Danio rerio: one gene and its partners. The protein of the gene in region 1 interacts with the protein of each later gene in a pairwise test. Links are inferred from orthologs where the notes say so. Each region holds a gene or a part of one and is shown on either strand. Other genes may lie near its edges.

The links.
Region 2: the proteins of pnrc2 (region 1) and esrrga interact in binary tests that used the Homo sapiens proteins (3 or more experiments, as listed by UniProt). The link is inferred for Danio rerio from reciprocal best matches to the Homo sapiens genes PNRC2 and ESRRG.
Region 3: the proteins of pnrc2 (region 1) and esr1 interact in a two-hybrid assay, tested with the Homo sapiens proteins (2 studies listed by BioGRID and IntAct). The link is inferred for Danio rerio from reciprocal best matches to the Homo sapiens genes PNRC2 and ESR1.

Annotation. Positions count from the first base shown.
Region 1 is NC_133191.1:36,325,929-36,330,103, reverse strand, and holds the start of pnrc2 (proline-rich nuclear receptor coactivator 2), read left to right. Parts: upstream 1-1,184; 5' UTR 1,185-1,371; intron 1,372-1,878; 5' UTR 1,879-2,096; intron 2,097-2,270; 5' UTR 2,271-2,291; coding exon 2,292-2,738; 3' UTR 2,739-4,175. UniProt on the Homo sapiens protein: Involved in nonsense-mediated mRNA decay (NMD) by acting as a bridge between the mRNA decapping complex and the NMD machinery. May act by targeting the NMD machinery to the P-body and recruiting the decapping machinery to aberrant mRNAs.
Region 2 is NC_133192.1:31,323,619-31,327,902, reverse strand, and holds the start of esrrga (estrogen-related receptor gamma a), read left to right. Parts: upstream 1-1,397; coding exon 1,398-1,800; intron 1,801-4,284. UniProt on the Homo sapiens protein: Orphan receptor that acts as a transcription activator in the absence of bound ligand. Binds specifically to an estrogen response element and activates reporter genes controlled by estrogen response elements.
Region 3 is NC_133195.1:29,094,146-29,098,419, reverse strand, and holds the start of esr1 (estrogen receptor), read left to right. Parts: upstream 1-1,474; 5' UTR 1,475-1,538; coding exon 1,539-1,990; intron 1,991-4,274.

The DNA of each region.
Region 1 (4,175 bases):
AGTTCTAGAAGCAAAACATCAAGTTGATAATTTTTAATTAGGCCTAAACTGAATGTTTATGTAACTTCTCACTGCTGTTAGACTTAAAACATTCTCAGACTTATAGTGCCATAAAGCATGACACTTTGGTTCAGAAACACCAAATGGCCCATTTGCCTCCTATAATCCATTCATTGATTTAAGACACTACACCCCAAAACAACACCTTCGTCTGTAGCCTTTCAAACACTTTCCCTCCTATTATTATTGGTAGCAGATACCACTTCACAGTTTTTATCTATACCTGTTGTCACATGCAAGCAGGATGCGTCATGTTTCGTCTCAGTTTAAAAGACTAAGTATTTCCTGTATCACATTAATCATCAAGGCTCCTATCTACTATTTTTGTTAGGTTATTAGTATATACTGCATTTCACATTTTGACGTATTATTAACCATTACACAAAATAATCAAGGATTAAATAAAAGTGTTTTGTACTTTTTTTAGTTTTATATGATCATCAACATATTGTATGAATAATCATTTATTACACTGAATTACTTTATATCTGATTGAATACTATTTGTTTAACCCCAGGTTTACATCAGAACATGTTCAAACATATGGTTAAACTCATAAATATGGTTGGTATAGCAAAAAAAATGTGATTCCTATGGTTTTGCTCAAACAACCATGTTGTTCTTCTTTGTTTAATAAGTAGGCCTATGTGAAGTCCTTTTAAGATATCTATCAAAAGCCTGTAAATATTCTTTCATTGTTCACCAGATGTTAACATAAGCACTCACTTCAGTATTAAGAGCTATCTGAAGTATTATGTACAAAGTATCTGTGTCCCTTAAGATATCTGAAGCCTGTGAGTATTCTGTCTTTGTTCAGCTGAAGTTTACATAAAGCACACACTTCTACGAGTGTTGTGCTTTTACTCGAAGATGTGCCAAGGACACCGATCACCAGGTTTAAATGTGTGCATTTTTTGAGATTACACCAACCGGAAGAAACCATGTGATAATAATTTTTATGCCTTCGAGTTATTACAGTAACCAAAATTCCCCACAAACACGCATAACGATCGGTGACGCAGGAACGATGGCAACAGGCGTGTTCTTCGCTCCTATTGGCCGCGCGTCCACAGTGCTGCTTCCTGATTGGCCGCAGCACAACACGTCTGAACTACTTATGCTTTGTTGAGGGTCCATTTTGTTGTTAGACGGAGACGAACTGGAGAAGGAGAACATCATCATTCCGCTGTAGCCTCGGTTTTTTACTGAGCTTCACATATCGGGAAATATTTTCTCCATTTACAGCTACAGCTGACAGACGAGACCAAGGGAATACGAAGGGCTTGTTCCATCAAATTCCTGAGGAAGTCGGTAAGTTGTTTTTCCACAGTCAAAGGTATAGGGAGTCGTCGACTGTGTTGACGCCATGTTGCGTTGAAGAGCCTTTGTTTTGATACGCGGCCAGAAAAGATGACCTAATACTCTTGTTTTTATCATTTAAAATCGAGCTTTTATTATAAAACATTGCAATAATAATGTGTACATTCGAGTTTACTAAAAACCTTGGCTTTTTTGTCGAAAATAATCGCTAGTATGAAGACGTCGATCGCGAAGGAGGAAGATTGAATGCTGTTTATGTAATAACAAATCGGTGATTTGTAATATATTTGCCATTTAAATTAGCCGTTTGTTTTTTAGACTAGTAAATAACAATTATAAACAAGAAGGTTTACTAGTCCATGTTTTGTTGCAATATATGTTTACATTTACACAAAGAAATGGTTTGACTGGGATTTGATATTAGTTTAAATACGTTTTTAGTCATAAACGAATGTATATTTAGTAGATTGAGATGCTTATAAATGTTTGTTTTGTTAGATCTACGGCTTCTAGAGCACCGTGCGCCGAGGTGAATTCATGTTCAACTCGGTTCCACGACAAAACAACGCTCACTGGCACATGAAAACCTCAGATCTTGCTGGACATACATGTGCAGCGAGAAGTAGATCAACTACTTCGAGGACCTGGAGCCCAATTGGCGAGGAAAAATTAAAAAGTGAAAAGAACCACGCACTCAACTTTTTTACAACAGAGAGGTAAGAAGAGGAAGCGAGTGGGGGATGGGCGGGGACGGGCTCGTTTTGCACGTAGCCCTTTGTTTATGTCAGCCTGCATCACTGGGGCACTTATTTATTTTAAGCCTGTTTTGAAGATACTATAAATGCATGTTTTATTTAATATAACAAATCTACACCTTTGTCTTCTGCTAGGTGACATCCAGTCAAAATATAATGGGAGGTGGTGAGAGATACAACATTCCAGATCGCCCAGCACCCAAGAAGAGCCAGCCGGTTAGCAGGGGCAAACAGAGAAGTAGAGACCAGAATGGAGTGATGCATTCTGCCGCCTCAGGAGCCTTAGGGGTGCCCCATCACCTTCGCAGAGGTGAGAAGGGCACCAGCTATTCTTGGTCTCCTGAGGCGCGGCAGGCCGTGTCTGTAGACAAGAAGAATGGCTCTGTTCGTTTTGCCACACCGTACGATCAGAATTGGGAGTCCCATCTGAACAAACTTTTATCAGCTCAGTGTGGTCAGAACTATGCCGGAGCCAAGTTTAGTGAGCCCCCATCCCCAAGTGTGCTGCCCAAGCCCCCAAGCCACTGGGTGTCTCTTCCCATGGGCGATCATCGTGAGTTGATGACCTTTCAGTTAAAGAGCCTCCTGAAGGTTCAGGCCTAACAAGGTCTCTCACTGCTGCTCTCTTAAGCCAATACATGATAAAGGCTTCACTTTGGCCTTTTGCCTTCTCCTTGAACGCCCCAGCTGCGTAATATATTTTACAGCTATTTTTAGATCTGCATCTTAATAAGATGGTGATGATCATTTGGTAGACAGATGTTCCTCCTAATGTCCGTCATCTAACATATTTTTTTAAACAAAGAAACTAGTTATTACGCTGTTGTGGTCTTAAGAAGCGGTCAAGAAGTCTTTGGGGAGCTGTATGCCATGACAAATGATGAACTGGATGTCCTCTTAAACTCATTGCTCTGTTATGCTCCTGTTTTGTTTTGTTCTTTTTTTGATGGCTGTTTGTGACAGTCAGATTTTTTTTCTTCTTCCGCTAGACCTAGAAATAGATGTCAAGACAAACTCGCGCATCGTTTTTACTTTCCAATATATCTCGCATTTTGTTTTTCTTGCTTGCTGAGGTTTGATGCTCACTTTTGGCTTGAGTTTTAATCAAGCTGGGAGTGCCAGAAACTTCTTGGTGCTAAGCACAGCAGCATCTGTAGCGTAATAGTGCGTACTGCATTTCCGGGTATCTCTTTTTGTTTTGCTTTTTGGGAAGTAAAAGCCACTCGACTTTGTTCTGCAGGGAGACCTAAGCGAACAGAACATGAAGGGGTACAAGCTTAAGTGAAAAGGTCATATGACTAACCTCAAGCTTAATGAGGTGGCACAATGAACCTTGTGCTTTCAACACCTGTACTTTTTTAATGGCGCTGTGCGCATTGCACTATAGGTGTTGAATTCACTATGGTTCTCAAGCTCTATTGCAGCGTTAAACTTTTACTTTTTGCATCCCTTGTGTTATAGCTTAGAAAACTAAGTGTGATTTTTAATGTTTACCAAAGCGACGTAATCAGCTACTTTTTGTTGAAAGCCCCCACCTTGCTTGACCAGATCTGGTTACAAGTGCCATAAATCATTGCGTAAGGCATTAGCGTATATCAAGGTTTTGGGTGACGAATCATTTTTTAAAAAATTTCGCTGTACTTTTGGAATGATCACAGAGCAATTATGCGGAGGAGGGTTATGACGTGAGACCGTAGGATGTAAGTTTTCTCTAATCTCGTCTCATAGCCTTGTTTGCTCTGTGATGCATTTTAAATTCCTAAGCATTAAGTTATGAAATGTGTGTATTATGGCACGGGGGAACTGAGAAATCGGGCGCAGGTCCAGTGTGGACATGTTTACATGGTTTGTTTTTTAAAGAAGGCAGACTGCCGGCATTTTACACACATACACTGCCCTTTCTCACTTGTTGTTATTCTTGCACTGATGTTCATTTGTGTTCAAACGTTTCAGACAATGTTGCTCTTTCGACTGTGGATATGTGATGAAGCACCCCTTCCCACTTAGTTATGAGTGTGGTGGAAAACTACCTCTCTTGCA
Region 2 (4,284 bases), on another chromosome or scaffold:
AGGACCCAGCTCAGGGTCTTCTGGATTGTTGACAGGGGAAACAGTTAATCCACTCTTGCAGGCCTTGAAGCCTCCTGTAAGACAGAGCAGAGATATCTATTAATTACAGCACTCATTAATAGGCCTCTCTCCCAGGGCTGTGTGGGTGGAGGGGGCTTCAAGTAAATGGGTTGGTGGTATCGAGCGACGCAGGGTGGGTGGGGTGTGTTCGGCCCGCTCTTTTGTTTGCCTTTGAAGACTCTCTGCTTTTGACGGTGTGGCTGTCTGTTTGGGTTACTGGACTGATACTGTGTGTTTGTGTCTGTATTGTTGATTTTTTATTTTTATTTTTTTCCTCCATCGATGCATGTGAGCGTGTATGGCGACTGGCCACAGGCGAGGATGATGGAAGTGCTTTGCGCCTCCGCACTGATTAGAGTCATGTAGAACAAGTTGATATTGACTGGAAAGTGAGTGATGGCACTGAGCTCTCAGTACTGTCCCTCTCCCTTCCGCCCTGCAGACGCTCATCTGTCATGGTGCATTTGATCACCTGATCCCACCTCTTGATCCACAATCACAAAAAAAAAAGCCTTTAGCACTTTTTTTTGGTGTGCGTAGATGGACAATTTTGGTGCTGGAGAAATGACAGGCTTTGGCTCATGCTCTCTAGCTCTACAATAAATAATTTCAAGTAATTCCTCACCATGTCAAATGAATCCGAACGATCCGAGTGTATAAATATCAAGGACTAAAACCATTAGGACATGACTGGATTTGTTGTGCCACATTTCTTTAGAACTCAATTGGCTGCACACTGGGCTGGCGTAGCGATGTTAGCTCTCCTCTTTACAGCCGTGTAGATATACAACCACTCAGACACTTTAGTGAGACCCAGGGGACCGTGGCACACTGGCTCTCATATGCCTCTCCTCTTATGTTTCCTCTCAGAGAAGTCATTAACATGCTAAAAAACTAGAATTCTGAATTCACAATCAGGGGCTTTTTTTAGCTGCCGAATGCTCTGTTCTCTCCGGCTGAGGTGGAGATGGACCCATGTGCAGGATGAAGGGCTAGGGGGGCAGGGTTCTATGTTTCTATTTCTTTTGTATTTCTTAATGGCTTTGTTTTGGTGACATTTGTAAGTTGTGCCACCTCAAAAGATCATCTCGGACTAATATGAAAACACCAGAATAATGCCATTTAACGCATCTAATGTTGGTCTTTTCTAGTGTTGCACAGTATATCAGAAGTCTTATTGGTATCATTTAATGAATGCTGTTTTTAATGGACTGACAAGAAAATTGCATGTAATTTCTGGCAGTTCTTTCTTTAGTCTTTTCATAAAGATGTTTTCATTGTTAGTCATATTCACTAACACTTCAAATTTGTTTCACATTTTTAGGCTGCTCTGCAGAATGTCCAACAAGGACCGCCACATTGAGTCGAGTTGCCCCTCCTACATAAAGACGGAACCTTCCAGCCCCGCCTCACTAACGGACAGCGTAAATCACCACAGCCCCGGCGGCTCCTCAGACGCCAGCGGTAGCTACAGCTCCACCATGAACGGCCATCAGAACGGCCTGGACTCACCCACTCTTTATGGCCCAACAGGCGCTCTGGGTCCCAGCGGAACTGGTGCCAAGCGTTATGAGGACTGTTCCAGCACCATCACGGAGGACTCACAGATTAAATGCGAGTACATGCTGAACTCCATGCCCAAGCGCCTGTGCCTGGTGTGCGGGGACATCGCTTCTGGTTACCACTATGGCGTTGCCTCCTGCGAGGCCTGCAAGGCCTTTTTCAAGAGGACCATTCAAGGTTGGCTTTTACCCTCCCTCAGCTAGAACTTTGTCTAGGTTTAGGTGGCAGGTTAAAGAGTTAGAGGGACTTAGTCAAAGTGCAATACCTAGAATCAGTGCAAAGCAATTCCATACATCCAGTATCCCCTGGCTTTACACCGCCTAAGCTGCTTTCCGTCCAGTAGATGTGTAAAGCCAGAGGGAGGTAATGCTCTGGCTTATTAGTCGCTGGTATTTGCTGCAAAGCAATAAAGATTTCCTGTCTTTCTGCTTTAGATTAACAAACTTGATCAGTCATTCTAAACCAGAGGTGAGTGCTAATTGAAAAAAACAGAATGTAAATTCTCCTCTAGTTTCTATAAGTGGCAGTGAAGCTCTGAAAAACAAAGTAGGTGCTAAAAATTGGGTCAAATATTATGCTTTACCTGAGCATAATCCAGAAGCCTGGAAGATGGGAATTTGACATATCGGTATGTTTCATCCCATTAGCCAATAAAACTCTAGGTGATTTCCAAAAGCATGCCATCCAGCTGGACATATATTGACTTTCAGACTGGCTGGTTTTTGAGCGAAGGAGCTGGGTTGGGGAGTTCAGGGAAACAGAGGCGTCAGGACTGTGGTTCGGCTTGGGGCGTTGGGACAGGCAACGGCATGGGTGCCACGGCCACTCAACTCACCGGCAGCTGGCATTGCAGTGGCACTCCTCCAATGCCACCTGACAACTTGCATCTATCACCTCCCAATTGAGGCACTCGAAGCCAGGCAGTGGCGAAATACTGGGGGACACACCAAAAATTCAACCTCAGAAAGCCCACAACATTCCCAAATCTTTTCCCACTTCCATTAGGTCAGTCCAAGGTCATGTTGTGGCCATGCTCTGGTAATGAGCTCCATTGGCATTTGACTGCGACTGATGAATGATGGAAGTGTAGCGTTTAGTATGAAGACAGGCAGCAAAAGAAAGCACCTGGGACATTTTATATCTTGTTTGAAACCTTTCGCCTAACGCTTGAGTGATAGACAATGGACATTGCACTAATCGACTGCCACCTAACTCAAATCACATCACTCTATTCTGTCAGCGGAAACACACACACACACACACACATAAACACACAACCTCCTTTCCAATGTGTTGATAACCTGGACACAGCGCTCCAGCCATTGGCATTCGTCTACTGGGAGGAAAGCACCTATATTAGATTGGCAAGGATTTTTTCCTCCCTTAAAATATTCCCAGCTGGTTAAGACTACTCAACCCACTTGAGGCCTCATGAGAATTGCCTTGCATCTCCACACACATCCCCATTCCACATTCACAGATTCTTCCCAATCCGAACACCCTAATGGATTCTGGAGATTACCTGACTAATGAATATTGGAGCTCAGTTTAATGGACATGCATACTTTAAATACTGTTTCCTGTTGAATTAGCAGTCTTGAGCATTTAGCCCCCCTGCTCACGCTGCTAATCTGCTTTTTAATGAGGAAACATCAGTTCACAGAAGAGAAGTCAATACAAATCAGTGTTTACAAAGTCTGATTAACTCTGAAATATTTCATCAGTGTGGAGGTCCCAGACGGGCCCTATGTTAATTGCATGAGTGCGTGTGTGTGTGAGTGTCTGTTTCAGACCAAGACGTGTGCATGTGTGTGTGTATGTGTGCGTGCACGTGTTTGTGCTCTAATGACTGTTCTAAAGTAATTCTCTCCATACACTGATAGTTTTAGCACTGCCATAATCCTTTCCAAACTCTAAATGTGTTATATTAAATTACTATATCTGGCAACTAATTCTTATTACATTGCCAAAGAGCTGTTGAAATGCTTTTATTGGGTGCCAGACTTCTGTTTGTGTGCTGTTTTAAATATAAGCACATATCATTCCCATTTCCCCCTCACACTGCTTCACAATGCTCAAGAACACACTATAACAGTTTAATCTATGCCAGTGCTCTCAGGGATGAGGGATCGGTTGGATCAGGGGTTGTGTTAGTGGTCACCAGGTGATCAAAAGTTCACTCAGAGGTGAATTGTGACCTGCAGGTCTTTGTTTAGGTTTAGGTAAGTCTGGTCTACCTGTCCACCTGCCTCTCTAGCTTCATGACACATGGAGAGTCAGTGGCATTTTCCATAACCCTTTGTGCTCTTATACACACTCACAGATTCAGAGATGATGAGATGTGAGCTCTGTATTACAATCTCTCTTTTTTAAAGTGACAGACTGGGCTTGGATTTGTACTTAGCATATTTTATTGGTTAAGAGTTTAACGTTTGAGAATGTGCATTATTATTTTAATATACAGTGCTCAGTGCTGAGTATATACACCCTCACTAATCTATCTTTTAAATTCATATTTTTAATAGAAAGCTATACAACATTATATTTGTGCATATTCAGTTGAAGAATTATTAGCCCCCCTAAATTATTAGCCTCCCTGTTTATTTTTTCCCCAATTTCTGTTTAACTGAAAGCAGATTTTTTCAACCATTTCTAAATATA
Region 3 (4,274 bases), on another chromosome or scaffold:
CAAATCTAATCAACTCTTGCTGAAAAAAAGTGTCAGTTTATTTTATTGTTTTAACAGTACTGTATATTTAAATCCATAGTCAGTCTAATGAAGTTTCCCTAATCAAACAAAAAGCACAACACCCACACACGTTCCATTTCTGTGTAAAATAGCTGCCAGTACAGAGAAATGATTATAATCAAACAGATTTGTTTGTCCCTAGAGAGCTGAATAGCGTCTCCTTCCCTTTTTAACCTCCTGCAAGCATCTTCCAACAAATTTAATTACTCCTTTGACATATAATTTCCCATGGCAGCAGCATGTAAAGTGGTTTCGCAGCGCATCACCTGTAAAACTCAAAGGTTTTGGCAAGTGAATCAAGTGGTGACCTCCTATCTCTTGTTTACCTGGTTGCCATGACCTGCTCTGAGAAGTGACCGTCAGTATCGACCTGGCTGTCTTTAATTTGTTTACCTCCTCTTTTTTTAAGCCAGAGACACAGACAGAGAAAGTAAGAAGGACACAGGAAGTCAGAGATACATCAGTGAGAGACAGAAAGCATCCAGCCTGTAATGGGACTCAAGTAAAACATCAGAGGAGTGAACATTTTGGTGAGGATGCTGGAAAGAATTCAGCAACCAATTTTTCAGCTTTTGTTTTTCTAGTAATGATATTCCATGTGTCTTTTACTCTAGCGTTTTGTAATCGAGCATTGTTTCTATTATTAGTGCTTTCAGTTGAGTTTCCTGTCCTGTTGGTTTCCTGTTTTATAGAAAAGCACACCTTTCAGTTGGGTTTATCCTTTCTTACACTGCAAATAATAATGCTTTTTGTCTTGTGTCTAGTCCAAATACCTAACAATTATCTAAAAAAATGATGTAAAAATACTGTTTTTGTGTTGTTTTGTCCCTTAAAAATAATCTGCCAATGAAGTGGGTAAATAAATCTTAATTTCGGGTTGAAATAAGATCATTTTAAAATCATTTTTGTTGTTTGACATAAAATCTCCCTCAATTTTGACATTATTTCTGTTTCAAAGTAAAACAAAACAATTTTTTTTACTTGTCTAGAAAATGCTTCCTGAATGCTCTTCCTTCCAAAAAAAAAAAAAAAAAAAAAAAAAAAAAGCAGCTTCAAGAAGTCAGAAATGTATTTCTTTGCAGTGTAAATGTAATGCATAAGACATTTGGGGAAAGAAGAACAATGAGGGGGAAAAGATGGGATAAAAGAAAGGCAAAAGAATCAAAATGAAAATGTGTTTAAAGAGGGAAAGACAGGAAGAAAGAGAAAGAAAAGCAGCCTCACGTATCTTAGAAAAACATCATACTTTGTCCTCTCAGCCCAAGGAGGACTGTAGGAGAGGAAGGTAGTTTTTTTTTAGGAGGAGTAGGCAGAGCAGCGAGAGAGTGAAGCGGAAGCGAAGCAGAACAAGGGGGAGAGAGTTTGAGAAAGACTGTGGGAGGTGGAAAAAAAGAAGCCTGAGCTTAAAAAAGACAGAAACAGTCTTTTGCTTATGAACAGATAGTACCCTAAGTCATGCTTCCTGCGTGTGTGTTTCCATGGTGATGTCTGGAGGGCAGACCAGCGGAGAGGCTGTTGGTGCCAGGCAGCGACGCAGGACCAGCCCGAGTCCTGAGAGAGAAGCCCTGGAGGAACCTTCCTCGCCACCTGCCGCCCACAAACTCTCACCCATGTACCCTAAGGAGGAGCACAGCGCGGGGGGCATCAGCTCCTCTGTCAACTACCTAGATGGAGCTTATGAGTACCCGAACCCCACACAGACCTTCGGCACCTCGTCGCCTGCAGAGCCTGCTTCAGTGGGATACTACCCGGCTCCCCCAGACCCCCACGAGGAACATCTACAGACGCTTGGCGGTGGATCAAGCAGCCCCCTCATGTTCGCACCCTCCAGCCCACAGCTGTCCCCGTATCTGAGCCATCACGGAGGACACCACACCACCCCTCATCAGGTGTCCTACTACCTGGATTCCTCGTCCAGCACCGTCTACAGGTCAGTGCAGCAGCAAATTTCAGCTCAGGCTTTAATTAAGTAAATGATGAATATGAAATTAGTTAAAACTATTAAATAAAGTTAGAAATATATAATATAATATATAAAAATATATGGCAACACTTTAAAATAATGGTCTTTGAGTTGATGTATTTACTAACATGAACATACAAATAACACTTTTATTTCGGGTAATAATTGATCTTTGTTAATGTTAGTTAATGTTATTTAAGTTAAAGAATGTTCATTTACTGTGCATTAACTAATGTTAATGTTATTAATGTATTAATGTTGAAATATGATTAATTAATGCTTTGCAAAATTATTCATACTTACAGTTTATTATTACAGAATTATCAGCCCCCTTGTTTATTTTTTCCCCCAGTTTCTGTTTAACAGAGAGAATATTTTTTTTCAACACATTTGTAAACATAATAATTTTGATAACTAATTTTAAATAACTGATTTATTTTATCTTTGCCATGATGACAGTAAATATATGACTGGATATTTTTCAAGACACTTCTGTACAGCTTATAGTGACATTTAAAGGCTTAACTAGGTTAATTAGGTGAAATAGGTAGGTTAGGGTAATTAATCAAGTTATTGTATAGGGATGGTTTGTTCTATAGACTACGGACAAAAATATAGCTTAAAGAGACTAATAATTTTGACCCTAAAATGATTTTTTTTAAAAATTAAAAACTGATTTTATTCTTGCTGAAATAAAACAAATAAAACTTTCTCCAGAAGAAAAAAAAAAATATCAGACATACTGTAAAAAAAGCCTTTCTTTGTTAAACATCATTTAGGAAATATTTAATAAAGAAAAAAATTCAAAGGGGGCTAATAATTCTGACTTCAACTGTAGTTGATGTTAGTAAATGCATTAACTAACAATAACTAATGGACCATCATTGTAAAGTGTTAGAAAATAAATATCATTTTTAGGAACTTTAATGATACTGTGGTTATTGTAATTGTGAAATCCAGGCTAAATTATAGTAAATATGACAGGGATCTTTTTACAATATATCATGTCATTCAAAAATATTTAAAAAATGAACCATAGGATCAATTCCCTAAGTTTAACTGCAGTAAATATGACAGGAAATTTATCATGTCATTAAAGTATTGCCATTTTTATGCTTATTTCTTTTTATTATTATTGCTTATAGTCCTGTATGTAATCATTTTAAATTCTTGCATTTATATCTTATACTTACTGTGTGCTTTTTATGATTTTATTTTATTTTATCATTCTTATGTAAAGTGCCTTGAATTGTTTATGAAATGTCCTATTTAAATAAAAAAATGTGCCTTGCTGGAAGGTTAAACTGTAGTAAATATGTCAGTAAAAGAAAACTATTTTAGTTTTTTAAGATTTAAAAAAGAATTTACTTTTTAAAATGATGAAAAGATTATAAATTTACATTAGCATTTTATGTTTATGGCCCTTTTCATGATGAAATTCAAGCTTAATTAAAGTAAATCTGCGTTAAAGTAAACAGCATTAGATGATTGTGGTAAATATAAAACACAATTACTTTTATGAACATTGAAAATGATTCAAAATTACTCTTAGAATTCATTTATATGGTAAAATCCAGCTTAAACTATAGTAAATATGATAGGAAACAACCTATATTAGATGTTTTTAAGGTTATAACACCGATATGAAATTTTGCCAGGTGGTCAGTAAATCAAATGAGGTGATTTTGACCTGATTTATGATTCATTGAGGCATAATGTTTGCTTTAGCACTCCAATCTTGCTTGGATGCCTGCCTTCCGAGGCTCATTTTTCCAAACAACACCTTGCATAAATGAAACCCGGTGAAAGTCTGCTACATTTGATACCTTTTTACAATTTTGTTATTTAAATGTCTGATTTAATAATAATAATTATTATTATAATAATTTGACACTTTCAAAGTTGAACTGTATGGTAAAACCAACATGTTGATCTACTTCCCCGGAAAACATTATTAGGGAGCATTTATGGAATATGTGGAATAAATGATCATGAGAATTAATTGTCTAAAAGTATCACATAATTTGATATTGTGGTTATTTCATCTAGATATGTACAGATCTCAGCATATATGAGTCCACCCCTCAACAATCTCTCTATTCAATTCATATTTTTAATAGGAAGCTTTACAATTTTATATTTGTGCATATATATATATATATATATATATATATATATATATATATATATATATATATATATATACATTAGATTAGTCAGTACTGAAGCCAAATCTGGAGCTTATCTAACA